4 separate regions of the Mus musculus genome follow, and regions 2, 3 and 4 are each reported to be linked to region 1. Evidence: microRNA targets listed by miRTarBase, many of them from high-throughput screens and not tested one by one. Region 1 holds a microRNA gene; each other region holds the end of a gene's coding sequence.
Evidence for each region. Region 1 holds the annotated microRNA mmu-miR-5125 (UCUGCCUGGGAUUUCCUUGU, at 1,734-1,753, opposite strand). A microRNA usually pairs through its seed, bases 2 to 8, with sites in the 3' UTR of a target mRNA and lowers its output. Matches are read on the target gene's strand: a 7mer-m8 pairs with bases 2 to 8, a 7mer-A1 pairs with bases 2 to 7 and ends in A, and an 8mer does both.

Region 2: the mRNA of Dnlz is a reported target of mmu-miR-5125. Seed matches in the 3' UTR shown: 8mer at 1,888-1,895.
Region 3: the mRNA of Abcd2 is a reported target of mmu-miR-5125. Seed matches in the 3' UTR shown: 7mer-A1 at 1,688-1,694.
Region 4: miRTarBase lists Rangap1 as a target of mmu-miR-5125. Seed matches in the 3' UTR shown: 8mer at 5,857-5,864.

Annotation. Positions count from the first base shown.
Region 1 is chr17:23,817,994-23,825,091 of GRCm38, reverse strand. It overlaps Mir5125 (microRNA 5125), which reads right to left and starts at 1,801; the gene lies at 1,723-1,801. Srrm2 (serine/arginine repetitive matrix 2) reads right to left here. Exons shown (of 15, transcript NM_001368687.1): 11 at 3,402-7,098; 12 at 2,392-2,679; 13 at 1,188-1,301; 14 at 972-1,076; 15 at 351-876. The coding sequence ends at 867. It overlaps Elob (elongin B), which reads left to right. Exons shown (of 4, transcript NM_026305.2): 4 at 113-352. The coding sequence ends at 225.
Region 2 is chr2:26,344,678-26,351,794 of GRCm38, reverse strand. Dnlz (DNL-type zinc finger) reads left to right here. Exons shown (of 3, transcript NM_026828.3): 1 at 1-22; 2 at 321-460; 3 at 1,237-3,677. The coding sequence ends at 1,390. Gpsm1 (G-protein signalling modulator 1 (AGS3-like, C. elegans)) reads right to left here. Exons shown (of 14, transcript NM_153410.5): 12 at 7,037-7,117; 13 at 6,436-6,644; 14 at 3,558-4,988. The coding sequence ends at 4,782. Among named protein-coding and RNA genes, the nearest start is that of Dnlz, 3.9 kb to the left of the region's middle.
Region 3 is chr15:91,142,453-91,149,569 of GRCm38, reverse strand. It overlaps Abcd2 (ATP-binding cassette, sub-family D (ALD), member 2), which reads left to right. Exons shown (of 10, transcript NM_011994.3): 10 at 365-3,699. The coding sequence ends at 584. Among named protein-coding and RNA genes, the nearest start is that of Abcd2, 46 kb to the left of the region's middle.
Region 4 is chr15:81,698,838-81,705,954 of GRCm38, forward strand. It overlaps Rangap1 (RAN GTPase activating protein 1), which reads right to left. Exons shown (of 16, transcript NM_001146174.1): 14 at 6,823-6,911; 15 at 6,616-6,737; 16 at 5,411-6,421. The coding sequence ends at 6,352. Among named protein-coding and RNA genes, the nearest start is that of Chadl, 5.1 kb to the left of the region's middle.

The DNA of each region.
Region 1 (7,098 bases):
GTCATCATACCATTGCCAAGTCAGGCAACCAAGGTGGGGAGGGTTATGGCCTTGATGGTTGATACAAGTCAATGAATGGAAACGCTGAGAATCTTCTATACCCCTTCCCCAGATGACACCTTCGAAGCTCTCCGCATCGAGCCCTTTTCCAGCCCTCCAGAGCTTCCAGATGTGATGAAGCCACAGGATTCTGGAGGCAGTGCCAATGAACAAGCTGTGCAGTGAGGGCCTAGGCCTACCCCCTAGAGACCCATTTCCCCAATAAAAAAAATTTGGCTGTCTACCTGATTGACTTTTCTGTTCCCTCTTGTTCACAGAACTCTTAACCCCAAGTAAAGACTACAGACCAATTACTGCATTTCTCATTTTTATTTGACAGAAAAAGTTGCTTTTACTGTACAGATTTTAAAAAACCAAAATGCCTTAAACAAAGTTGGGGGGGAGAGGGCCTCACAACCTTGTAAGGGGGTGCAGCAGGGCCAACCAACTTCAGCTCCTTCCTCTTTCAGGAAAGATTACAACTTACCAAGTTAAACCATCAGTCACCCAAGAATTTAGGGAGCTAACTCCCTGGATCATCACAATCTGAGGCCTAGATGTCCTGAGCTGTGCCCCTCCCTCCCTAGACTCCCTCCCTCCCACTCCAACCCCCAAAACACAAGAACCAGGAAAAACTCACAGAGATCAACATTTCACAGGAACCAAAAAAAAAAAAAAAAAAAAAAAGGGTGGGTGGGAGAGGACGCTCTCCCCTCAAGATGCTGCCAAGGTTCAAGGGAAGGCATACAAAGACTCCTTCCATGATTCTTCTGGGAAAAATGAGGAATACTCATGTCTCCAGAGTATGAGGTGTAGTGGAATCCAGATTATGGAGACCTGGAATAGAGAAGACTGGTCATTCTGGGTCACCACACATATCCCTATCCCTAACTACTAGCTCTCAGAAGGGCCAGACTTCCAAGGAGACACACCTGGAGGAGCGGTGACGATTAGAACGGGGACTAGGTGTCTCCTTCCTCTTGTGACCAGGAGAGTGACTGTCCCCTCGCTGGCCTCTCCAGGAAACTCGCTCACTGCTACAAGAGGAGAAATTAGGTCACAGAACAATACCAAAAACTTTTAAATTTTGCTTACAAATTAATGGTAGCTAGTTGAGTCAGGTTGCTAGCACCTGCTATAGGCCCTACCTCTGTAGATCCCTTGGTGAAGGTTGGGGCGAGGGCTGTCGACGCTCAACGGGTGAGTAACTGAGGGATCGGGAATCCCGAAGGGAGTCTATTGGCTTCCGAGGACTTCGAGACCTAGGAAGCAGAGTAGGCCTCTATAGCTCCACATCCTCCCAAACCCACCAGCCAAGCATTCAGGACCACCCACCCAGGTCCTGACCACCAAACCTCACACCACACAGGGCCAGCCTCAGACCCACCTTTGTCCGCACTCACCCATCCGCCCGCACACCATCCACCGAGTACCCCAGTGGACAGGGCACAGGGTGCAGCGGGGGATGCAAAGATAAAAGAGTCCCTGCCCTTGGAAGAATTTTGTTTGGTAGTAAAGGTTAACAATGAAGGCACACACGCCCCCTACATAGGAAACAGCCCAGCAGGATGGATATGCATGGGCCTGGGGATCCAGAGAAAGGATGGGGACCTGGGCAGGACAGGGAAATGGCAGGGCAGTCTTCTCGGAGGTGCTGTTTGAATGCAGTCTTGCAGAACGAGTTCACCAGGCAGACAAGGAAATCCCAGGCAGAAGGAACAGCATGTCCAAAGGCATGGGGCTCTCCTTAGACTGCAAGGCGCTGGGTATGGCCGGAGCACGGGGCATGTGTGGGGGCGGGCAGGAGGAGCACAGGGCGGGCAAGGGCAGCTGGTGAAGAGCCTCACACGCCATTCCCGCAGAGGTGGCACTTTATCCTGCAGGCCACAGGGCGTTCCGGAAGGATTTGTGGAGTGAAGGGAAGTAACCAGATGTGCGTTTTAGAAAGATCCCTCTGGCTACGTGTGGAAGAGAATGGCGTGGAGGCAGGGAGACAGGGAGGAGGCTGTGGACAGAGTCGGGAGAAGATGACGGTGGCCAGACCAGAGCCCTGCAGCAGCAATGGGGAGACTTAGAGCTAGATCTCTGAGACCAGGCTGCTTGTCAGGGGAGGGGAGAGGGAGGAAGAATCCTATGACTTCCCAGATATGGCCTGGGACACCTCAGTTAGATAGTGCAGCCCTTGACCAGAATACAACACTGTGGGAGGATGGGAGGAGTCCGGCACTCCTTCTCCCGTACAACCAGTCACAGACGTCCACACGAGGCACCCCAGCAGGAACCTCACCCAGGGTCCCCTTTCTGGAGAACTCACCCCAACCCCCCTTCCACAACAGGCAAGAAAGCACTCACCTCCTCTCGCCAGGGGGTGGCTTCTTGGGGCTTGCAGGTTTGGGTAATGCCTGAGGGCCAGGCTTAGCAGGGGAGGGGGAGGAGGAAGAGGAGGAAGAAGAGGAGGAAGAAGAGGAAGAAGAGGAGGAGGAAGATGAGGAGGAGGAGGAAGAGGAAGAAGAGGAAGAGGAGGAGGAGGAGGAGCTGGAACTGGAGCTGCTAGAGCGCCTCTTCCTTTTGGCCGGGGTTGGTTCCTGAGGACGTCCCTCTCTAATAGCCTCCTTTGGGACTGGGGTGGGGCTGGGAACCCTGTGAGAGAAGAAAGGTGTCACAAGGAGACAAGATGCCCCAACCCCAACCCTACCTTCCTTGGCCTGGAGGAACGGCAGTGGGGGAGGGGTGCCTGAGAAAAGCCCTGGGAAAACACGAAGGCAGGCCAGTGAGTAGTACTTCTCTGGAGCAGTGGCACAGAGCTGACCAAACCTCTGCTAACACAAGCAACAGGCTGGGGCCCGAAGCACAAGGGATCAAGGTTAAACCTCAAGAATGTCCCTGATGAAGGATTAAGGCCCCTGGACTCAGATGTGGAAGCTGAAGCTGGGTGATCTCCTTCCTTGGAGAGCCGCAGCTTGGGGAGGCCCCTGTGAGTGCAGGTTGGCTGGGGAGGGGCCGTCCTGCCTGGAGGCAGGGAGAGGGATGGGATGACCTCTGAAGATCCTTCCAGCCCAGGGAGTTCCTCTTGAGGTCTAACTGCCATCCCTCCTGCTGTAAAATTAAGTCCATTTCCTCTAGTTCTGTCCTCTGTAGAGATGGAAAACTTATCATTATCCTCTGGAGAATTAACCTTTGGAGACTTTTATCTGTCCCATTCCTCCCCACAAAGCCCCCGCCCAACATTCTTTCTACTCCCAGCTTGAAGGCCAAGGTCCCCCATACTTTCTCAAAGCCAAGTGCTTTTGACAAGATTTCTCCCTCCCTACTCACCCACCCATTGTTAAGTCCCTGCTCCCTAGATCCCTTAATTGCCTCACCTTTTCAGTGCCACCTCAGGTTGAGCTGGAAGGCTGGAACCCTCTGAATCACTAGAACTGGAGCCAGAGGAAGAGGAGGATGACGATGAAGATGATGAAGAGGAGGAGGAGCTAGATGATGATGAAGAGGAGGAAGAGCTCCGACGTTCCTTAGCTGGTTGCAGAGCAGCCAATGTAGAAGGCTGCTGGGCCCCAGTAGAGGCAGGTGGCTCCCCACCTTCAGCATGGGATATCCCAGGGGCAGGGCCAGAAAGCATGCCATTGTGGTCACTAGCAGAGGATGTGGACTTCGCTACTGTCCCGGATGAAAGGGACTGAGACCCTGCTACAGGAGTGGTCTGGACAACTGAACGAGATTGGTCTGAAAAAGCAGATGGCACAGGGGACCGAGGCCGATCCTGTGCAGGAGGGAGAAGAGATTGCGAAGAAGCCTGAACCATTCTTGAAGCAGGGGAAGGAGCCCGCTCACGCTCAGAGGTCATTCTAGACTGGCTTGGGGCAGATGGTGGTGTTCTGGACCTGGCTCGATCAAGCATTAAAGGTGAGGTTCTGCCACTAACACGATCATAAGCAGAAAGGGGCACCCTGGGACTGGTGAGGTTTGCACCAGACAATGCTGGAGCCATCCTGGAACTGGAGAGATTTGTGGGAGCCAAGCCTGCAGGGGTTCTAGAGCCAGCAATATTCACAGGAGCTGTGCCATGCGCAGATCGAGGACCCACCACCAGGTTTGCGGGGGTTGGAGCCTGGGGTGTTCTGGAACTGGAGGGGTAATTTGCAGCAGTTGGAGGTGTCCCAGAGCCTGTGAGACTCAAAGCTGCTAATGCAGCTGGTGTTCTAGCTCCTGCTAGGTTCACAGCTGAAGCTGCAGGGGTTCGAGGATCTGCAAGGTTCACAGCTGAAGGAGCCACTGCTGTTCTAGGGCTGGCTAAGTTCATAGCTGCAGCAGCAGCTGGTGTTCTTGAGTCAGCAAGGTTCACAGATGCCGGAATAGCAGATGTCCTGGCACTAGCAAGGTTCATAGCTGCTGCAGATGCTGCTGGAATCCTGCTGGCAAGGTTAGCAGCTGGGGCTGTTCTAAGGCTCATGAGAGGTACAGGTGCTGGAACCTGGGACATTCTTGCAGCAAGGCCAGCAGCAGACATGGATGGAGGTGGCCGGGCAGTACCAAGACTGATGGCTGTCAAGGCAAGTGCAATTCTAGACTGAGCATGGTTTTCTGGAACAGATGATCTTGGGTGATCAGGAATCCGAGGACCTGGACCATCCATCATGGAGCCACCTGTTTGCTGTAGCACAGACATGGGCGTTCTAGCGCTTCCAAGGGGTTCAAGCATTCCAGGTGATCTACATCGGTCAAGAGGAGTTGGTGACATGCTAGGACGGCTAAAGCAACTCATTCTAGAGCTACTGAGTGCTACAGGAGGTGTCCGAGATCCAGAATGATTCCTTGTTGCTGGAGGAGTGGCAGAACGTGAACGATCAGAACTACTTCCAGATGCAGACCGCCTACGAATGGCTGGAGGAGATCTTGTTAAGGACCGCTTGCCTCGAGCTGCCCTAGGAGTACGAGACCTAGAACGGCGGCGGATAGCAAGTGGTGAGCGGCTTCGAGAGCGCTTGCGTGGCAACAGTGGTGTCCGAGACCTAGATCGTCTTCGAATTGCTGGCGGAGTTCGAGACCTGGAGCGTCGTCTTGTCACTGGAGAGGTTCGGGAACGGGACCGCCTCCGGGTGACTGGAGATGTTCGAGATCTCGATCTTCTCCGGGTGACTGGGGATGTCCTGGATCTTGATCTTCTTCTAGTAACAGGTGAAGTTCTGCTTCTAGATCGCCTCCTGGTTACTGGTGGAGTCCTGGATCTGGACCTTCTGCGAGTCACTGGAGGAGTCCTAGAACGAGAACGACGGCGAGTTGGTGTTCTGGATCTTGAACGACGACGAGTTACTGGTGGTGTTCTGGACCTGGATCGCCTTCGACTCACTGGGGATGCTCTTGATCGAGATCTACGCCTATTCACTGACCTTGACCGTCTCCTACTCACAGGTGAGGTCCGAGATCTGGACCTACGTCGGCTTATCAGTGGTGTTCTGGACCTGGACCGCCGATGAGTAGCTGGTGAGGCTCGAGATCTAGAGCGCTTCCAAGGAGCTGGTGATGTTCTTGATCGAGATCGCTTCCGACTGGTCAAGGGTGTCCGGGAGCGGCCTCTTCTGCGTCTAGAGGAGGTTCGAGAACTCTCCTGTCTGGTAGGTGATCTTGAATGGTAACCAGAGCCACCCCTCCGTCTCCGAGTAACTCGTGATCTAGACCGGCTCCTCTGTCTTCTTCGAGATGTTGACTGAGATGATCCAGATCTATCTCTGCGTCGGGTTGTTCTGGTTTTCTCTCTCCGTGAGCGGGATCGGGATCTTTGGAGTCCACGAGGTTTGGGTGAAGGAGACCGTCCTCTCCTCGAAGTTGTCTTGGTACGGGGAGAAGAAACTGAGCGCCTCCTCCGTGAAGACCTTGACTTTTCAGTTGGCTCTGGTGAAGATACTGAAGGACTTCTTCTGCGTCTTGGTGGAGTTCTGGAGCGGATTTCTGGTGATGAGGAGGCAGACCGGCTTCTACGAGAGACTCTAGCCTTCCTGGTTAGCTCAGGAGATGATCGAGAGCTCCGGCGTCGAGGTGGTGTGTGAGACTTTGTCTTTGGCTCTATTGAGGACCTGGAACCTCTTCGAGCAGTTCTGGATTTGGGGGCGTGTTCTGGAGAAGACTCAGAACTACTGCTTCCTTCAGGGGAAGGACCTCTCTCTTTGCTTGATGAACCTGATCTACTATGCCTGGGCAGGGCCCGAGGAGCAGGTATCTTGTGTTCAGGAGAAGAATCAGTACCACTCTGAGCCCTCTGTAGCACTCTTGGCTTATCTTTCATTTCCGGAGATGAGCCAGACCTACTGAGCCTGGGTGAGTGTCGAGATTTGCTGTCAACCTCTGGAGATGATCCAGAGTGACTCCTCTGTCTGAGAGGAGTCCGAGTCTTGGGTTTGGAATCTGGAGAAGAGTCTGACTCACTTCTTTCCTGTGGGGACGCGCTGGGCTTTCCATCAAGCTCTTGGGAAGACCCAGATCGACTTCTTTGTCCCGGAGAGGTCCTAGCCAGATTTTTCTGTTCTACTGATGATTCTGACCCACTTCTTTCTCTCTGAGGGGTGACACTCTTGTTGTTGCGCTCTGGGGATGATGGAGAATGACTTCGGGCTCTAGGAGTCTGAGGCAATGCTTTTGGTTCTGGAGAAGAGTCACATTCACTTCGTCCCCTGGAGGGGGTTTGAGGTGTATCTTTCATCCCAGGAGAGGACCCAGATAGGCTATGCCTAGAAGGAGTCCCAGACCCATCTCTAAGTCCTGGAGAAGACCCAGACCGGCTTCTCCTAGATGGCGTTCTAGGCAAACCATCTTTCAGTTCAGGAGATGCAGAACTACTTCTTTCTCTTGAAGGTGTTCTTTGTTGTACAGTCTCAAGTACAGGCGAAGATACTTTCTGACTTGAAAATAATCCTACCTTTTCCACTACTTCTGGGGATAACTCAGAACTGCTTCGCCTGGAAGACCTTGACTGTTCTTTCATGTCCACAGATGGATCTGCCTCTGTTTGATTAAGGAATGATCCATTCAATTCTTCTTTAACCTCAGGAGAAAAGCCAGTATTTA
Region 2 (7,117 bases), not on the chromosome of region 1:
TCAACTCGTCTACACCTGCAAGGTGGGCGCTGTCGGCAACACCTGGTGCTGGCTGGTTTCCTGTTGGTGTAGGGTCCTGGCAGAAACGTGGAAGTATCCTTCGGACCAGGGAGGAGGCGGAGTCTTTACAAATGGCTGGGTGGGAATGAGGCACAGGGCCTTCTAGGTTGGGTTATCAGGAGACAGGCGTCTAGAAATGACGCCGTCGCCTAGGTGGGATCATCAGAGAAAGGGTTGAGGCTGTCCCTCGGGATGGAGTTAGACCTTGGGAGAGACTTTCCTGTGTATGCCTTGCCTGACCACCTCTCTAACCCAGCTAGGTCTGTGGGACTCGGTCATCCAAGCGCATCTCAAAGTTGGCCTATCACCAGGGCGTGGTCATCGTGACTTGCCCTGGTTGCCAGAACCACCACATCATCGCAGACAACCTAAGCTGGTTCTCTGACCTGAAGGGGAAGAGGTGAGGCCAGCTGGGAGGGGTAGGAGACAGTAAGATTGTGGCCCTGTGTGAGCCTGGATCCATTGCCTGGATCTCTCTACCTGGACAGCCCAGCTTCCACGTGGACCTGGAAGCAGTTGAATTTGAACTTCAGATGAACCATGAATGGCCCCAAATATGGCAAACTAGTTCTATGGCTCTACCTCTGTCACTGCCTGACCTCTGATCTCGCCAGGGGCCTTATCAATCTCTAGTGGAGGCTTTTTGTCCTCTGCCAACTCAGGGCAGATGGAAGGGTATGTGTCAGATTATGGACTGGGGCAGCCTTCAGTGGTGTTCCCACTTTTGGGAGAGCAGTGGGGAGGGCCAGGAGTCAGTTTGGAGGCTGTGCCTGATGCCTTCTTAATGTTCTATGAGGAGGGATCAGTGGCAGGAGTAAGGGCAGAGCCACAGAGGAGATAGCCTGTGATAAGTGTGCAGGCCTTGGGTCTCTAGGGTTCGCCTCTTAGACCTGGACTGCAGAGAAATCTCAGCTCTGATATGTAGGGACAAGACTGAAATGCAGGGATGGGTGTTACCTGGTGAGAGGCAGGGCCACGGCCCTTGGTGGTACACTGTACGAGAGAGATGGCTTCTGAGGACTTGTTAACAGATACATTTGGTGAAGGTGCCATTAGGTGCCTGCAAGGTACTGGTGTCACTTGGATGCTGGGACAAGTGTTCCAGGCCCAAGATGACCATGGGATGCCCTTGAGGGAGCCCAGAGTAAGGCTGATGCTGCTCTTACTGTCTTGCAGGAATATTGAAGAGATCCTAGCAGCCAGAGGAGAGGAGGTACGCCGAGTGTCTGGTGACGGTGCCCTGGAACTGATTCTGGAGGCTGCTGTACCCCCTGACACCCCAGAAGGGGATGAGGATCCCCCCAACCCTGGCAAGATGGGACAGAGCTGATCTGCATACTCCTACAGCTGCAGACTCCAGTCTTCCCAAAAGTCGCTCCCTTCACTTGGAGCCTCACAAGCCTGCTGCTGTTCCTTGTCAGTAAAAAGCCATCACCTCCAGGCACCGGGCCTGGGCTCCTGTTTTTCTCTTGTGAAGTCAGAACAACTCTGTGGCTGTAGGAGCCCAGCCTCATGCCCACCCATGATAGCCACAGTGGTGGCTTCGGGGGTGGCTTTGTCCCAGTGCAGTCGGTCTCCTTCTTAAGTAGGGCTGGATCTGGTCTTGAGTTAGGCTCGTGGCCTCAGGTGGTTTTTTGTTCCTCAGAGCTCTTTACTTCTTCCTTCTATATGACCTGCCTCCACCCCCACCCCACCCCCAGCCCTGGTGGCTTCTGTTGTTGAGCTAGTGTCCAGCCCAGCCCTGAGGTTTGGTTTCTGTAGCAGAACTGGCTGCTCTGGGTGGCCGCCGAGGAGCAGAGCGCTGCTCAGAGGCTTAGGGGAGTGATCCAGGCAGAGGCACACCACACACACACACACACACACACACACACACACACACCACACCACCCATGAGCTGCCTGCACCTCTCAATCCTCCTGTCTTGAGGTCCAAGAGGAGATGCATGGAAGTGATGAGGGCCGTATCATGCTTGCCTTGTGTGTGCTTCATCTCCTAACTTGGTTTGACATGCCTTTGGGATAGTCTTGTGTTTAGGAAGTCAAGCAGATGCACAAACAGGCTTTTTGTGGGAGTTTCTGGGCCCTGTGACCTTCAACATCTGGCAGGGGGGATCCTGGGACAGGGGGTGGAGAAGGCAGTTGACACGGACACAATGCTTCCCTGGCTCCTGGGACCCCAGCTAGTGATTAGCAGTTCACTCTGGGCCCTGGGAGGCCGGGTGCACTTGCAGTCTGTGCCTTCCCTCGATTACCCCCTGTCCTTCCCTCAGCAAACACCCTGCTATTATCCCCACCCTAGCCTCCTGTGCCATTTGTACAAACTGTCACATCCTGGAGGAAGAGCCAGCCTCCGACTCCAGCCTGCTCCCTGTGGAGGACACCGAGGTCAGAGGAGCCGATTGCCTTGCTTGTGGGCCTTCAAGTCAGGAACCAGTGGAGCCTGGCTGGGCTGCCTCGTCCTCAGGTGTCTGGGCCAGAGTTGTCGGAGGCCTGGGGCTGGCTAGACCTGACAGTACAGAGCTGGATCTAGCGTATCTCCTCTAGATGGGAAGCCCATGATTTGGACTTACCTCCTGTGTGTGTGTGCCTTCTGCCTGTTGCTGCTCCAGAGCCTCCTTCCCAGGGAGGGTCTCCTGTGCATCAGGATTTCACTTGAAGCTTCACTTTCCACATAGTCCATTCTTGCAGAGTCCATACCTCACCGTGTTCTGCAGACTCACCACGGGCCACAGTTCCCAATCATGTGGCCAGGTTCCTGACAGCCTGGAATTGTTCTGACTAGTTTAGTTCTCCATTCCTTCCTCCCTTTCAGTGGAGACTAAGTAAAGTACCACCCCAACATCACAGCACCTCTTGGCCAGACCAGCGTGACTCCTGTGGGGTGGCTTGGCTCTCTCAATACATCCCCTTCCCATGGCAGCCATCTCTGGCAGCTGGCCTCCCGGCACCTGAGCAATTTCAGCCTGCCCAGAAGCGTGGCTGCCTCTAGAGCAACCACAGTGCTCTAGACGATAGAGAATTCTCTAGGCTATTTTACTGGTCTTAGCTATGTTCTGCTACCCTTGGCCCATCAGGACACTCCCCAAAGGGCCCAATCAGGATCTGAGTTACATGGGGTGCTGCCCACTACATGAACATTGAAGACAAGTTCCTCTGTGGCTTAGATTGGCATAATCCAGCGCTTGTAATGGGAACTGCTAAGACATAGGAAGCTCTGGGGCTGGGTCCAATCCAGTCGGGGGCGGGGAGGCTGCTTGGAAGGGCTAGTCCTGAGTGTTTACCAATGTACTGTGACATCCCTGGCTTCTGTTTCCTGTCTCTGGAAAGTCAGCATAATGGAGAACAGCAGAGAAAGCAGCAGTAGCGGCTCTGGCCCCGCCTCTCACTGTCGCATGCAGCAGAGACATGCTGCATGATCTCAGGGGCCTTGTACACTGCACTGGGTAAGCCAATACCATGTCCTGGGAAGGCTGACACAAATTCCAACAGAAGCCACACTCACTTGGCAGACTTTTATTTTTGGGTAAAACAAAACAAATGTACCTCTCGGGTCAGAAAGGACCCATGAACAACATGGCAAACACATGTAAGCAATAAATACGCATGTACATTCAAGTATGCGGGGCGGCCACCATGTCCCGCCCGAGACCCTGTGCTCTAGTATCTGTTTCTGCTCTCAGAGTGATGTTGCCTCTCCCTCTCAGAAGTTGGGTCCTCAGTTTCCCTTGCCCTGGCCCTCTGGGTAAGAGGCCCTGGGTTAGACAGTTGTACAGAGCCCTCCAGTAGGGCTACCTATAGGACTTGTAGGCAAGAACTAGGACCACGGTCCCGAAGGGTCTGTCTCATGGATGCCCCGGCAGTTCTGGCTGAGTCTCCACCCCAACTACAGTGCCCTGTGTCCAATTAAGATATGGACCCCTCCTTGGGGAGAAAGCCAAGATATCATCTCCCTAGTAATAGAAGGTAGATGCTCACTAAGAGGACTGAAGGATCTAGTTGAGAGGATCCCTCATGAACGTCCACTACCAGCCAGAGCTCAGCACTCCTAGTACAAGACCCTATGCTTGGAGACCTGCCTCTCCCCTCTGCCAGGGGCAAGCTCCATCTTTCCTCAAAGGCCAAGTGCAAGGCTGGGGACTACCAGGTCAGGGTGTCTGGACTTTGTAGCTGCCAATCTCCCTCAGCAGGGTTGGGCACAGCCAGGCCAGGATAGTGCCTGCCCTGGGGTCGTGAGGCAGATCAGAGTGTACCTCCTTCATAGCCATCCCAGGACCAGCTGGGGGACAGAAGATGCCTTAGCACTGTAGCCCCCACCAGAAGAAGTCCTTGAAGCCCCTCTGGGGGCCTTGGGAGAGTTGGCAGAGTTTCACATTTGGCAGGGCAGGGCTTGAGGGAAAAGACTCTGGACAGCACCGGGGCTCGGGGCCAACATGCTGAAGGCCCGGCCTAGGGCAGGGCAGGGCAGGCCTGCAGGAAGCTGTGGAGATCCATGGGGACAGAAGCATGCCCTCCCCCATATAGCAGCTCTAGCCTGCACCCACCACCTGGGATGGGGGGGCCTTGTGCACCCACCATCTGGCTCAGTGGGAAGGGGCTGGGGCTGAGCTGGCTGTCCATCATGGCCTTGGGAAGATTTGGCTTATTGGGGGATCATGGCCACTGTGGACAACCGTGAGCCTACAGAGTCCAGAGTAGGGTATGGCTGGCTGTAGGGGCGAGGCCTTAGCTGGCACCCGGTGGACACTGCTGCTGGGGATCAGGCAGCCCACTGGCCTCTTGCTCTGGACTCCCAGCAAGGTCCACACGCTGCTCATCCATCCGCTTAGCCTGCACCCTCTGGATAAGGCTGAAGAAATCCTCATCAGGCATGGTAGGGCCACGGGGCAGCACATCAGGGGGTGGGCAGCGCTGGTCATCAATCCTGGAGGACTGGGCAGACACACAATGGAGGTTGGTGGTCTTGTATTTCTTGGGTCTTTAGAGGGCCTATGGACCTATCCTGGCACTGGGAAGGTGATGGGCTTATTGGAAATCTGAAGACAGCAAACACTGGCTTGGGAAGAATGATGTAATCCAAGTGGGACCTATTTCAGCCACCTCCTGCCCCTGGCTCTGGGGTAATGCTAAAAGCTTTGCCTTGGCAGCATCGCCTGATGACTTACTCGGAGCTGTGGCTGGCCAACCAAATAAAAAAGGCTAGGTCGTATATTCTGGTCATAGAACAAGTCAGCAGCCACTGGGCCCAACTCTGGGACTTGTTGATCCAGATACTAGACCCCTAGAACTACCCTGAACCCTGGCACTGCCCTGGACTGCCCTGGAGGGCCTGGGGGCTGCAGCTCAGAGCTTGTTGCTTAGAAATTAGCATCACTACTTTACAACCCCAACCCCACCAAGGGTTGCCTTTGGATCAACAGCTGACACCACAGGCTCTGCCTGTTCTGATGTGGAGGTTGAGGGGCCTGAAAAGTGTTGGCTTCTCTTCAGGGCCTGGAGCAGATGGGAGTGGAGCCGGTGCAGCTGATGGCCCAGGTATTTGAGTGGGCAAGGCTTCTCAGGAGGGGCTGGCTTAGAGGAGGCTGTCTGGACGATTCTGTGGTTCTGTCTCCTCTGTGAGAATGAACATTGATCTGGAAACTTAGCCTGATACACAGGCAGAATGCTGACCCTGCTTACTCCCCACCATGTACCTGCTCCTGCTGGAGGGCAGCTAGCCAGCAGGATAAACGTACCACCCACCCCCTTTGCTGCCAGGCCTTGGTAGGTGGCTCAGCTCGCAGCACCCCAGCCTCACCCAATCCCATACAGTGGAACCCATCCATGGGTAGCTCTGCCCTGGTTCTGTGTTCCCAGGCCTAGGCTCTCCATCTCACCTGTCAGCCCATGCTGTGTGGTCTTCTTCAGGACCGTTTCTGCTCCCATTCCTACAGCCAGCACTAACATCCCAGATCTCCCTCCCTCTGTCCCTCCCTCTGTCCCTCCTTCCCTCCCTCTCTCCCTCCCTCACAACTCCAAGGTGCCACTTGACACTCAGTTTTCTCTGCCCAGATGTGGAAGCCTGTAACAGACATCCTGGATTTGGGGACCTGGCAGCCCCAAGCTGAACTCCGGCCCCAGAGTATGCTGAGACTTATTTCAGGAGGTCCTTGGCCCCTTGGCAGAAGGAGGGCTTCAAGCCTGCGCATCTGAGGATGGTCCCTCACTCTGGCTGTACTTGTTACTATGCGTCTTCCTCAGGTATCCCTCAGATGAGGCCAGAGACAGCAAAGACAGGGCTTGCTGTGGTCCAGCTAGGTGTCTTCTGCAGCTGGCAGAGGACCACCACTAGGCGGGCCTGCATGAAGCTCCACCCATTGCCTTCTGAGGGCAGACCCACCTGGTATTTGATAAGCATGTTGAAAAACTCATCCCCCGGCTCCTGGGCGTCCCCGTCGCCTCGGAGGTGCCCCACATTGTTGAGGGTGATGCGTAGCCCAGGCAGGCTGCCTACGCTAGCCCTCTGGTCGTCCAGCCGGCGGCTCTGGGAGCTGGCAATGAGGTCAAAGAACTCCTCTGTCTGTGGTGAAGCTGTCACGGAGGACTGAGCTGTAAGGGCAGAAAGTGAGAGCTGGAGAGGGGGCCATTGGTGGTGCTGGCATCTGGGACTGGCCCAGTCTTCCCCACAGAATATGGCCCTAATAAATCTCCGATGCTTGCCTCTAACCATCTTGCCCCTGCCCTGCCTCCCACCCCTGCCTCCCAGGACTTTGACAGGAGAAAGCTTTGGCCTCCCACACACTCAAAGGCTGGGATGCATAGACACTTCGTGTTCTTCAGGGTGGGGTAATTACATACTTCCCAGGATGCAGCTTCAGGGACAAGTGTGGAGGGAGCTCTGGATGACAGAGGCCCTTTGCAGCCAGCCTAGCCTGCTTGTTGGGGGGCTCCCAGACATAGTGCTGGGTCTGGCTGGTGGACCTCACCCAGACTGTACTCACCTGCTCTATCCTCCACGGATGGGGCAGCTGTGGCCTCAGCAGCCCCAGCCTGGCCTTCCTCCAGGGGACAGCGCTGGTCAT
Region 3 (7,117 bases), not on the chromosome of region 1:
TAAAAGTTTACTCTTTCCCCAATTCCCTTTCCTTACTTCTCTTCTAACTATGCTTCGTTATTTATTCAGAACACATATTTCTTCAGAAGATATTATGAGGGTAAATTAATACAAGAATAATCTTCCTTTGTAAATTATATGTACTCAAAATATGAAAGAAAAATTCAGGAACATCAAGAAGAATTTCTTAGAGATGAAAGACTTTAGACTTTAGCAATTCCACTGTTTATCTGAGATAACATTAGAAATAAAATGTAAAATAGCCACATCCACTAAAATTTGTCTCTGAACATCAGCTAGAAAGCTCTATAATGGAAACGGCTTTTAGGATTATGACTGATTACACTTTGTTTTAATCACACAGGAAATACCACACTCATCTATTACAATTCGATGGCGAAGGAGGCTGGCGCTTTGAACAGTTGGACACTGCTATCCGTTTAACGTTGAGTGAGGAAAAGCAAAAGTTGGAGTCGCAGCTCGCTGGAATTCCCAAAATGCAACAGAGACTCAACGAACTATGCAAAATTCTGGGGGAAGACTCGGTGCTGAAAACAATCCAAACTGCAGAAAAGACATCCTAATTTATCTTGACATGTTTTCAGTTACCTTCTAGGTGAAGCCTCAGAGACTCTCTCTTTACTGCATGCAGTATGTTAAGCTAAGTGCAGAGAAAGCAAGCCGGCAAAAAAAAAGTATTTTGTATGATTTTAGCATCGAGGAAATATATGAAGACTTTTCAAACAAACAAACAAAAAAAGCAAACAAATTAGTTGAGATTAGTCATGACTTCAGTTAGTGCCCAGTGAAAAGCTAACTCACCTGTAAAGCAGGACTTTCTAGGACTAGGAGAAAGTGGCCTGAGGTTCTTCATGTAGGAGAATGCCCCAAAACAAAGCAGCAAAGGCACCAGGAGGACTGATGTCAGCTGTGCAGAATTAGGACTTTGAGGGTTCTTTCAGCCCAGTTAACAAGGACAATAGGTGCAACACCTGGAATCCATAATCAGCATTGCTAGGGGCCAAGTCAAACTGTGTACAAAATAACAGGCGTTTTGATACATAATTTCAGTCTGAAAAAAAAGTGCATTTTAATGACAGTGGTTGAAAAGAAGCATGGCTGGACAAGTATAAAGTACTGTATTTAAATTTTTCATACTTTCAGCATCTTGATACAGATACCAAAAATTAACACGAATAAAAAGTGTATTTGCTTAAAAACAAGCCCTTTTGTTTTTTAAAAAGAGAATTACCCATACGGAAGAGGAGGATCCTAACAATGCTTGTTCTGGCTGTTGCTTGACTCTGCAGTGCTATCTGGTACAATTTCTACCCAGAAATATTGCTTGTTTTGTGCCCACAAAAAAGCATTTTAGAAACTTGATTGCTGTCCTAAGTTTCCTTGATCCTGGAAATCACAGTTATGTTCTTATACTCTGCCTTTGAAGCAATCTTTTAAGGCATACAAGTTTTTTGTTCCTTTTTCTTCTGAGAAAAAAGACACTCAGATTTACTTTAGTCACATGATTTATTTGGAAAGAGCTGTAGAGATCAATAGAGGTCTTGTGACCCCCTGATTCAGTGCTTTCATCACTACTGACCCTTAAATTTAACTGGGATATAATGTCAATTTAAAAATTATGTGAGCCAAGCAGTGGTGGCGCACACCTTTAATCCCAGCACTCAGGAGGCAGAGGCAGGCGGATTTCTGAGTTCGAGACCAGTCTGGTCTACAAAGTGAGTTCCAGGACAGCCAGGGCTACACAGAGAAACCCTGTCTCGGGAAAAATAAAATTATGTGGGCCAGGTAAATGTCTAGAAATGGAATTGTAGGCAAAGCAGGGCATAAGGAAAAAATTTAAGTAGATGAATAAATATTTTTAAGGCATGGAGGAATGGCAGTTGCTTCTCTTGCAGGGGTCCCGAGTTCTATTGCCAGCATCACATGGTGGCTCAGAACTGTGTCTAATTCCAGTTCCAGGGAATCTGACACCCTCTTCTGGACTTCAGGAGCCCTGCATGCATGAAGTCCTCATACATACATGCAGACAAAACATTCTTAACATTAAAAAGTCAATAAATCTGAAAGATAGTAAGGATATTGAAATTGGCAATGTTGATGTTATTATCACTTATTACTGTTTGCAAGAAATAAAAACAAGTCGCAAATGCAATGGTCATCAGTCTTTGACTTAAAATCAATCAAGAACGACATCACACCACAGCCTATGTATATCCACCCAATGCTGAAGTGTCTGCAGTATCGGCACTCAGAAGGGCAGTGAATTGAAGCTTCATACTACTGAACATGACGAGAGAAAACCCTATATGAGTACGTCATATGAAATAGAGCTCATCTGAAGTACAGAGCCATAACTGATGCTTTAATCTCATCCTCTCTCAGGCTATGGTGAGGTATGTAAAAACCTGAGATGAATAGTTCTAGGGGCATAAGATTTTGTTTATGTATTTAGGCAGCACTTTAGCCGACGCTAACTTGCAATAGACTGTTTGGAAGACAGACTACCTGGAAGTCACTCACAGTGATTGTTGTAAGAAATTACCACATTTCCACATTTTAAATTCCCCAAATTGTATGTAATTTGAGTTACCAATAAATGTACCCACCTTACATGAAGCAATACAATATGAGGTCCCAGTCAGTACTTTTTAATTTGTCTGTTACTACTACTTCTTACTAAAAATGTGGGGGAAGAATTAAATATTTTGTTTAGTAAAAGTATAGAACCAGAAATTGACACTTGATTTTTTTAAAAAAACAATTCACTAATCTTTAACAACCATGTTAGCAGCTACCCAGGTTATTTGATAAAGGGGAAACATTTGAAGCAAATGTCTTACATTAGCTCTGAAAGGCACAAGAGGAAAATTCAAAGTTCACATTTGAAATTATGCTTTTTCACAACTTAAAATTAAACCACGTAAGACATGATATCTTACATTTTTAAGCTTTGCAAAGGATGCCAACATCAAAACTAGATTTGTAATTAGACCTTATTTAATAGATTTTTACCAATGAGCTGAGGTGAAATAAATAAAACTCATTACACAGTGGTTTAAAGATGTCTGAAATTCTATACTTAAAATCTAGTCGTGAAATTTAAATGGTAAAGGTTTCAGGACAAACTATCTGTTTTCCAGTAGCTTTTTGGTGACTACTGATTTTCTGAATTACTTTTTCTGAGACCAAATACCCTCTGTCTTAGAGGGAGAATGTGATGTGAATTTGTGTTGTGTACAATCCGACTCTTTCCAAACTGGCCCCACAGGAGACCGGAGCTGATATTCTCACAGGCATCCTTGTGAGAACATAAAGACCACTGAGAAATATCTTCTATGACTAGGACAAAGAATAACAAGGAAAATGAAGTATAGCTCCGGCTATCAAACTACTTATCTTTTCCTTAGAAAAGGCGTACATTTGTGGAGCTTGATTACTTTGGGGGGATAGCTCATAACCTGCATTGTGACATCCTATTTCTGCAGCATGCTGTGGTATGCCAAGCATGAGTCTGACGCCGTGTTCACCCTAAAATCCTCTTGAATCACAAGGCTGACGATCTTACTTGAAAACCAACCCGATTTACCCTATGTTTACACAGGAAGGGTTTTCCCTTCGATAGTTAATTTGACTTTTGTCCCAAATTTTGGTGTGTCAATAAAAGTAAAAACAAATGTATTGGTTTTTTTTTTCCTTCGGGGCATTAATTCCAAGTAGAAGCGTGTATTTGTGAGAGATGTAGCTTATCTCCATGTTTGGAATAGGTCTTTGACTGTGTAAGCCAAAAGAGCTTGTTATACATTGGAACCCTGAGGAAGTTATGCGCTTTAAGACATGATAAATGCGGCAACAGATATTAAATTATTTGTTTAAAGAGATGCCTCTGATATAATTACTCAGTGAGCACAATGTCCCTGGTTGAGCCTAGAGTGCTTTCCCCACACCCGGTACATCACGGAGCTGCTGCTCCAGGTATAGAGACTGAGAGTCTGCATGTGATCTTTAAATATTGCCACGTGAAAGTTTGCAGGTGGATGTATGTTTTTAAAATCATAAACACATATCCCCCTTCACTTCTGTTGAGTTTTCGTACTGCCTGGTGCAAAGGGATCTCACCATTTAAGGCAGAAACTTCAGAAGCAATTGTCCTCCAGTCAGCTTGAGCTGTGCTGATGAAGGAGAACACGAGAAATGTTTTAGTGGTGAGCATTACTATAAAGCTGGAGGAGAATACATGATGGTCCTCTCTGCAGTCCATGTGCCAGGACTTGAAGTTCTTAGGTTTGGATGTTTGGTTCCTTGTTGGCGTCAGTATTGGAAGGATTGGGAGGCGGAGCCTCGTTAGAGGAGGCGTCTCACTGGGGGCGGGCTTAAAGGTTGAAAAAGCCCACACACCAGGCCTAGTCTCATCTGATAAGACCTCTAAATCCTTACTCGCTGCTCCAGCTCCTGCTTTCCTGCCTACCTGATGCCATGCTTCCCCCGTGATGATTACAGACTCGTCTCCGAAACTGTAAGCAACCCCCTAATCAAACACTTCCATTTATGAGTTTACCTTGGCCCTGGTGTCTTCTCGCAGCAATAGAAAAGTAACTAGGACAAGATTCATGACGAATTCTTTAATCACCATGAAAAATCAGTTTTTCAGAGGAGTTACAAGTTACCTCAGTGATGTCAAGGGCCTTATTTCTGTATTAAGAGTAACTGTTGGGTTGGTGACTACATATACCTTAGTTACACACTGTGTGCTGGTGCCTCACACATGGTTCTATCATTTAGGCAGAGGCAGGAGAATCACCATAAATCTGAGGACATCCTGGGTTCTGATGTGTTTATATAAAGCTAAGGGGGGTTGGAGAGATATGTTCTATGGAGGTGTGGTGAGGGATGGAGGAAGCGGGTGCCTCGGCGGGCCCATGCTGAGACATCCCTTCCCCCTGAGGGAACAATCACATGATGACTGTATAGTGTAGAATAGAGTTTATTCAGGACATGGGGAGGGAAGTTAAGAGAGAGAGAGAGACAGAGAGAGAGACAGAGAGAGAGAGAGAGAGAGAATAGAGGAGTAGAGGCTGGCCATGAGCACATGGAGAGAGGGGGGAAGGGAATGGGGAAGGGGCAAGGGGACAGGGTAAGAAGACAGCGGGAGCAAGAAGGCAAGAGACCAAGAAGGCAGAGGGAGGAGGGAGCAAGCAACTCCTTTTATAATGGGTCAGGCCTACCTGGCAACAGCCAGGTAACTGTGGGGTGGAGCATACCTTGCTGTTGTCAGGTATCTGTGGGGTAGAGTTTAGACAGAGTGCTAACAGGCTCCACAATAGGACCTTGGCTAGCCAGGGCTACAGGGTAAGATCCTATCTCAAAAACAAAACAAAACAAAACTGCATAACATTTCCCAAATAGTTTTTAAATAATAATTTTCCATTAAATATCACGCCAGGTACGGTGCTGAGCTCTAGGAATGAATATGACCTCATTTCTAAGCTTAAAGCCTACTACATCTGAAAAACAGAGATTATTGATCAGAAGGAAGTTGGTAACTGTGGTTTACTAAGGAGGTGCAAAGCACTGCCTACACAGATAATAATTCATTAAATTGCATAAACTAAACTCTAAGAACAGAGAGAGAAAGGCTGAGGAGTTCATGCCGCTTAACGTGGCATCTGAGCTGCTCTACCAAAGTTCAATGCTAGCAGCACATGATGGGCAAGTCTATGCATCTCTCTGTCTCTCTTTAGGTGTTTTAGAGCTGTGGGAAATTTGTGTAACATACCATAATTTTAATATTTTATTGTATGTTATGTATGTAGTTCTATGGAAAGGGAAATGACACGAGGCAACTTTTAAAATGTTCTAAAGAATTAATCTCCCAACCAGTTATAACTTATTGACTGGAAAGATGGTTCAGCTGTTGAGAGCACTGGCTGCTGTTCCAGAAGACACAGTTCAATTTCTAATACTCCTGCAGCAAGTCCTAACAGCCTGAAACTCCAGTTCTAAGAGTCCAACGTCCTCTCTCCTCACCTGCAAGGGCACCAGGCACATGAGTGGTGAACAGACTAACATGAAGGCAAATTGCCCATGCATGCACATAAAAATAATAAAGTAAAATAAAAATTCTTATTGACACTTTCAAGGTACCAGCTATTATGCTAGTGATGCAGAGACAAACAAGACAGACACTGCCCCGACACTATGTTTGAAACACATCTACTTTGGTAGATGTGCTAAACAACTGCAAACTAGTTCATGCTATAGATGCTATAGTTACATATAAGTGATGTATTTGGTTTGTAGTTATCTGTATGTCCTGCTCAGACCACTCTGTTATAACTAGTAAGCAATAAATGTATTCTCAAAGCAAGTTCCTTTGATTACACTGAGAATCATGTGACCTACTTTGCCAGTAGGAGCTCTAACACATTTAGCATGTCATCTCAAAAGAAAATCTATGAAATTATTTTAAGTTCAGAACATCTACAAGGGATCAATTTTGTACAATCCAGAATATATACTTTACATCAACAATATATACATATACATATACATATACATATACATATACATATACATATACATATACATATACATATACATATACAGCTACAATGTGGGAACTCGGAAATGCACAAGCAGTAATTACAAAAGCAAATAGGCTACGATCCCAGCACTGAGAGGCACAGGCAAAGGGTCACTGAAAGTTAAAGGCTGCCTGGGCTACATAGTACGTTTCAAGCAGTGTTTTCTAGCCTGACCCTGTCTCTGCAACAACAACAAACAACAACAACAGAAACAAAAGACTTCCAAAGTTAAACACATTTCAAATCACTTGAAAAATCTCAGTAACTAATACACAATATAATTGATATGGTGTGTGCTAGTTTGAATAAGCATAGCCCCAGAGATTCATATATTTGAAAGCTTAGTCATCAGGGAGTGGCATTATTTCAGAAGGATTAGGAGGTGTGGCCTTGTTAGAGGAAGTGTGTCACTTCCTTAAAACTTTGGGGTTTCAAAGGCCCAAGCCAGGCCCAGTATCTCTCTCTTCCTGCTACCTGCAGATCTGAATGTAGAACTCTCAGCTACCATATCTGCC
Region 4 (7,117 bases), not on the chromosome of region 1:
ACAAAAGGTATGTGCCATCACCACTGAGATACGTAGTTGGTTGGTTGGTTTATTTATTTATTTAGGTTTTTGAGACAGGGTTTCTCTGTATAGCCTTGGCTGTCCTGGAACTCACTCTGTAGACCAGGCTGGTCTTGAACTCAGAAATCTGCCTGTCTCTGCCTCCCAAGTGCTGGGATTAAGGGCGTGCGCCACCACTGCCCAGCATGCCTGGGTGTATTTTAAGAATGTCTCACATAGCCCAGGCTAGCCTTCAATACACTGTAGCCAAGGAGTACTCAGAACACAAGATCCTCATCCTTTGACTCACAACGACTGGGATAAAAGGTGTATGCCTATCTCAAGGCCAGGGGGCAGGGATGTAAAAAACTAAGCCTTTCCTATTGCTACAAAATATCCAATGTATGGATGAATATACCACAAACATACTAAATGTAAGTGAGCTTAACTACTCATCTCCTCCACCTCCGTTTTATATCCAACGGAAGTCCCGTCGGCTCTGTGGCAGAGGACCTCCCTTGTATGAGCGGCTTTGCTTTGTTCAGCTTAGTCCTCTGGCGGATGCGACACTGGGTTGCTTCTACCTCTTGATTCTAGCCTGAGAATAGATCTAAAGAACTAGTGCACAGTGTTCATTTGTATCTTTGCTTTCATTTCTATGGAGTATAAGCCGGTAGTACAGCTGTTGATGAAGGGCAATCCTACGGCAATTCATTAGAATAGCTTAAAATTCATTTCTCTTGAAAAGTACGTGTGCTCTCTGGTCCAAACAATGAGTGCCATTCCATTCTTCTCTCTTCCGCTTCCTCCTCCTCCTCTTCTCCTTCTTCCTCTTCTTCCTCTTCTTCCTCCTCTTCCTTTTTTTCCTCCTCCTCCTCCTCTTCTCCTCCTTCCTCCTCCTCCTCTCTTTTCAGATGGCATCTCTATTTCATAAGCTGGCTTTAAATTCCAGAGCTCAAATCCAGGCAGTGATAGATAGCACACACCTTTACCACAGTACTCAGGAGGCAGAGACAGGAGGGTCTCTGAGTTCAAGGCCAAGCCTGGTCTACAGAGTACTACAGGGCTACACAGAGAAACCCTATTTCAAAATTATGTGTGTGGGTATGTGCATGAATGTAGGTACCCAGGGAGTTCAGAAGAGGGCACTGGATTCTCTGGAGCTAGAGTTACAGGAAGTTGTGAGTTACCTGACATGGGTGCTAGTAATGGAACTCAGGTCCTCTGTTAGAGCAGTATGCGCTTTTATTTTCTGTTTGAGAAAGGGTTTCTTCTTTGTGTAGCCCTGGCTGTCCTGGATTCACTTTGTAGACCAGGCTGGCCTTGAACTGGATATCTGCCTCCCAAAGTGTGGGGATTAAAGGTATGCACCACTTGTAAGTGGACATCTTTGTCTTGTAAAGTTTTGCCTCCTGCCCCCCCACCCCCCAGATGAAATCTTACTCTGAACACTGCAGTCTAGGCTGTTCTCAAACTCACAGCAATCTTTCTGCCTCACTCCCCAACCATGTGGATCACCACACCCAAGCAGTTCCGTTTTCTCCTTTAGGGTGTGAGCTGTGGGCCTTCTCTGGCTTTTACAACAGTAAGGTAATTTCATACCTTTCCTCGCTTGAGTATATGCAGATCAAGTGCATTCATGCAGCCATGGAGGGCAGAAGAGTGAGTTGAACCCTCTGAAATTTGACTTAAAGGCTATTGTGAGCTCCTAGGTGGGTTCTGAACCTATGCCCTCTGCAAGAGCAGTATCTATGCTTAACTTCTGAGCCCTCTCCCTAGCCCCAAATCATGTTTTTGTTTTGTTGTAAGGTTTTGAGCTGTAGGAGGCACAGAGATTTCACAGATCAGCATTAGAACAACTCTTGGGTTGTTCCTTCAAAGGAAAGGATGCTTAACCTTTTACCCACCCAGAAGGCTGGTTAATAGCCGGGTGACCTTTACACTTATCTGTGTGGCCAAGATCACGTGGGATCCTCCCCCAGACCGGTGTGAGCTTGTTTTTCTCAGCCTCTAGAACCGATCTTCTGAACGTGTCCGTGTACTTTACAGATTGTTGTCATTAAGTGTGCCTAAAATAAACTCCCCCAAAGTTTGAATCGATAGCTACTTGGTTGTGTTGAAGCAAACTGCCTTCTTGCCTCTTGCAGATTGTTCCTCTGCGGAATGGCCACAGGGGCGCTGGGAACTGAACTCGGCTTCTCTGTAAGGGTAACAAGTGTGGCTATTAACCATTTAGCCATCTCTCCAAAAGTGCATTTTTTTAAAAAATAGTTTTCAAGACCTGGTTTCTTTGTGAAGCCCTAACTGCCCTGAGTGTCCTGGAACTCTCTCTGTAGACCAGGCTGGCCTTGAACTCTCAGATCCACCTGCTTCTGTATCCTGAGTGCTGGGATTAAAGGTGTGAGCTAGCATAGCTAGGTTCATACATACATATATATATATATGTATATATATTTAGATTTATTTATTCATTATATGTAAGTACACTGTAGCTGTCTTCAGACACTCGAGAAGAGTGAGTCAGATCTCGTTATGGATGGTTGTGAGCCATCGTGTGGTTGCTGGGATTTGAACTCAGTACCTTTGGAAGAGTTAAGAGTCAGTGCTCTTAAATGCTAAGCCATCTCTCCAGCCCATATGTTTTTTTAAATTTTACATGTTTTTTAAAGATTTATTTATTATGTATACAATGTTCTGCCTGCATGTATGCCTACGCACCAGAAGAGGGCACCAGACCTCATTATAGATGGTTGTGAGCCACCACGTGGTTGCTGGGAATTGAACTCAGGACCTTTGGAAAAGCAGCCAGTGCTCTTAACCCCTGAGCCATCTCTCCAGCCCTGTTTTTTTTTTTTTTAAGATTTATTTTATGTATGAGTATACCATTGCTGTCTTCAGACACACCAGAAGAGGGCACTAGATTCCATTACAGATGGTTGTGAGCCACCATGTGTTTGCTGGGAATTAAACTCAGAACCTCTAGAAGAGCAGTCAGTGCTCTTAATCACTGAGCCATCTCTCTAGCCCTCCCATCTTTTTTTTTTTTTTTAAGTATTTTTATGGATGAATACACTGTAGCTGTCTTCTCAGACACAGCATTAGAGGGCATCAGATATTATTATAGATGGTTGTAAGCCACCATGTGGTTGCTGGGATTTGAACTCAGGATCTTCAGAAGAGCAGTCAGTGCTCTTAACGCCCCCCGCCCCCCATATTCCTATATGCAATCTGTTACCTTTTTATTTGAAAGTAGGTGTACCTGTGTGCTATAGTCCATGAATGCTGACTACCTCAGAGGCCAGATATTAGATCCTTTGATCTTCTGGAGCTACCATGTGTGGGTGCTGGGAACTGAACTCAGGGCCCTCTGCAAGAGCAGTATATAAACTTAACCATCTTTTAGTCCTTGTTTTGTTTTTTAGTCTTAAAGGCCGCCCTGCCTGGCCTGGAGTTGAACCATGCAAACCAGGCTAGGCTGGCCGTGAGCCTAGGCAAGCTTCCTGCCTTCCACATGTGCCTTTGAGACAAAATATCACCATGTAGCTCGGTACCAGCTTTTCTTCTTTAGCTTTATGTACTTTTAAGTGTATGAATGTTTCGCATGCATGGGTACCCGTGCAACATGTGTGTGCCTGGTCGCTGCAGAGGTCAAAGGGCTTCGGATCCCCTAGGACTAGAATTGTGAAATGCCATGCGGGTGCCCAGAAACACACCGGATCCTTTGTGGGAACAGCAAATGCTTTGAACCACTGAGCCTACACTGCAGCCCTGACTTCAAACCTCAGCTGTTTCTGCTCCAGCTTTGTGGTTATTAGAATGCTGTGAACTATCCTGCATCTCCAAGCCTTACCTTGGTCATACTCTATGATCCTTCCAGCTTTTATTTTTTGAGTTTTTGAGATAGGGTCTCATGTAGCCCAGAACTCAATATGCAACTGAGAGAACTTTGTAAACTCGGATCCTTCTGCCTCCACTTGTGTGCAGTGTGTTTACGCCCAGGCTTCATGCATGTTAGGCAAGCACTGACTGACATCTTTGTTCCCTTTTGGACTTTTGTCTTGCTTCTTTTCCCCAGACAGGGTTTTCCTGTGTAAACCTAGACTGTCCTGGGACTTGATCTTTAGACCAGGCTGGCCAAAACTGCCTGCCTCTGCATCACCACCACCGCCCGGTTCATCTTGTAATGTGAAATGCTTACAGGGTATGTATGTGTATAGGAGTGTGCACAGCCGCAGTCTATCTGTGGAGATTAGAACATAAAGAGCAGGAGCACCCCTCCCACTACATGGGCCTCAGGGACTGGATTCTGGTTGTTGCGCTTAGAGATAAATGACCTCACCTGCTGAGCATCTCCCCAGCCCCTCAATTTTATGTGTGTACACTGCTAATATCTTTTTCATACTTCATGTGGTGGTGGCACACGCCTTTAATCCCAGCACTTGAAAGGCAGGGGCAGGTGGATGTCTGAATTAGAGGGCAGCATGGTCTGCAGTTTCAGTACAGCCGAGGCTATACAGAGAAACTCTATCCTGAGAAACAAAACTAGCAGCTTTGTGACTGTAGAGATGGATTAGTGGTTAAGAGCACTGATAGCTTTTCCAGAGGACCTGGGTTCAAACCCCAGTATCTACATGGTGGCTCATAACTCTAATCCCAAGATCTGATACCCTCACATAAGCACACATGTAGCCAAGATAACAATGCACAGGACAAAATTTATTGCCCTTGCTGTTCAGTTCCCAGGACCCACATGGCTACTCACAATAGCCTATAGCTCTAGCTTCAGGGGCTTCAACTCTCTGGAACTGGAGTTATGGATAGTTAATAAGTAAACTACCATGTGAGTGTTGGGAACTTAACTGAATATTTCAGAGCAGCAAGTGTGCTCAACCATTATAAATATAAAATTACATGGGAGGAGAATCAGCCTCATGTCACCTACTGGAAAGGTAAGCAGGCCTCTCACCCCTTCTTCTCTGTCCCATGCCATCCTGCTGGCTTCCCATCTGAACCTCAAGACGTTTTAGAGTCTTCAGTACTTGGTTTCCCTCCCCACTGCCCCATTGTCCACACATTGTGACAGTACTGTGAAGTCTCCAGGCTAGAGTTCAAGTGCACGTTCATAGAACTTGGCTTAACCAGCTTAGCACTGCAGCTCACAGGGAGATGCTTGCCCACACCATCCAGAGCAGAGGCAGCACTGAGGGCCCAGGTGGAGACATTGGCTGCCCCTCTGACTGAGGCGGGACCCCGCCCGCCCTAGGGTCTCCATCCCTATGACACACTTGGTGTGCACACACATGGTCCTTCCACTCTGCACATGGCTCATGAGATGTGAGCTCAGGTCCTCCTGTTTGCTCGCTCTGTCCTAAGCTGGGTCGTCCCCGCTTTTGATGAAAGAAGCTTCCGGGCCTCTGCAACTACACAGATGACGTTTATTTGTGAAGCTCCCAGGCACAGCCCAGACACACAACACAACGGGAAGTAGGAGGTGGCCAAGCAGCCACTTCGGGAAGTCACAGAGCATCTCTTACCCGGCTCCATCCCTATTACACACTCCTGTCTTAGAAAACCCTCAGAGAGTAGGCCCAACATGTGGTTCAGGCATTAGGGGACCTGCCCTTCCCTCCCCAGGAGAAGAACAGGGCTGGGCCAGCCAAGGTGCTTTTTCCACCTGGTCCTAGAGCCAGGTTACCCCAGACAGCTCCCACTCCCCTGGCTGCTCCTCCAAGTCACATGGTTAAGGGCAGAGGTTTTTTTTTTTTTGTTTTTGTTTTTTTGAGACAGGGTTCCTCTGTATAGACCTGGCTGTCCTGGAACTCACTTTGTAGACCAGGCTGGCCTCAAACTCAGAATTCTGCCTGCCTCTGTCTCCTGAGTGCTGGGATTAAAGGCATGTGCCACCACGCCCGGCTGAGTTTTACTTTCTAATGATAGCCCATCTCTGATAGCCTCTGTTATTTAGGCACGGTGGACACAGCACACAGAATTCCCCAGGCTTTGGTGGGACAGGAAGGCAGGGCAGACAGGACAGCCAACGGGGCCTATGGCTAAGTTGGCCTAAGTTTAATAACAAAGCAGCTTTCTACCCTTCCCCTAGGCATCAATTCCCCACAGTGGACTTGGGTTAGTCCAGCAGGGAGATGAAGATCTGCAATCCAGACAGGAAGTACATACCCACACACACACACCAAACCAACACAGTATCAAAGGACCAATATGACACAGGAGACAAGACCCTCTCCCTTCCTCTGGTCAAAATATCCAATGGAGATGCTGGCCGAGCTCAGTCCATCCAAGACCCTCAGTCACTGGGGCAGGGCGAGGGACAAGAAGCAGCTGCCTTTAAATCTAGATGTTGTATAGCGTCTGCAGCAGATTGTGGCGGGCAAAGGAGCAGGTTTCCAGCGCGCCATTGGGCCTGTGAAGAAGACAGCTCAGTGAGTTGCAAGGACACCTTAGGATCCCGAAAGCTCTGTTGTCAGAAAGGTCCACTTTCTGGTGGGGGTGGGGTGTCCTCCGGCCTCTGCAGGGGGCTGGCCTGGGACTCTTGGGACTGACCCCACCCACGAGCCTTAGCTCAGGCAGATGGGAACACAAGGCCTCGATACTTACTTTGTCACAAATGCCAAGAGCAGGGGTGCAAGGGCCTTGGGGAAATAGTCCTGCCTCACCACGTGGTTCAACACCATCAGGGGGCCATGCAGGCTGGGTATGGCCTTGATCTTGTCTTCACTCTGCAAATAAGGGGGGGAAGCTCCAAGGTCACCTGGGAGCCCTGCTTCCTCCCTCAGTGACCCACAGAGCGGGGCAAAGCCTCACCTTGAGCAGACCCATGTGGATGAGCAGCCTGGTAAGGAAGGTGTTGGAATTGAAAGAGGAGCAGCTGAAGGCCTTCTTCATGAGGGCATCTACGGGGCACAAACAGAGTGTGGTAGTAAGCAGGCAGGAGAGGTTTAGATATACGGGTGTCCGGAGCCCCCGACTCTGGCCCTGTCAAGAGGTAGAAACTGAAGGGGGTGCAGGTACAGCTGACTGGGGTCAGAATAAGGGAACCAAGGGAAGACTCAGTTTACCAGCTGGAACACCTTCCCCACCCAGCCTCCTATAAAATGGC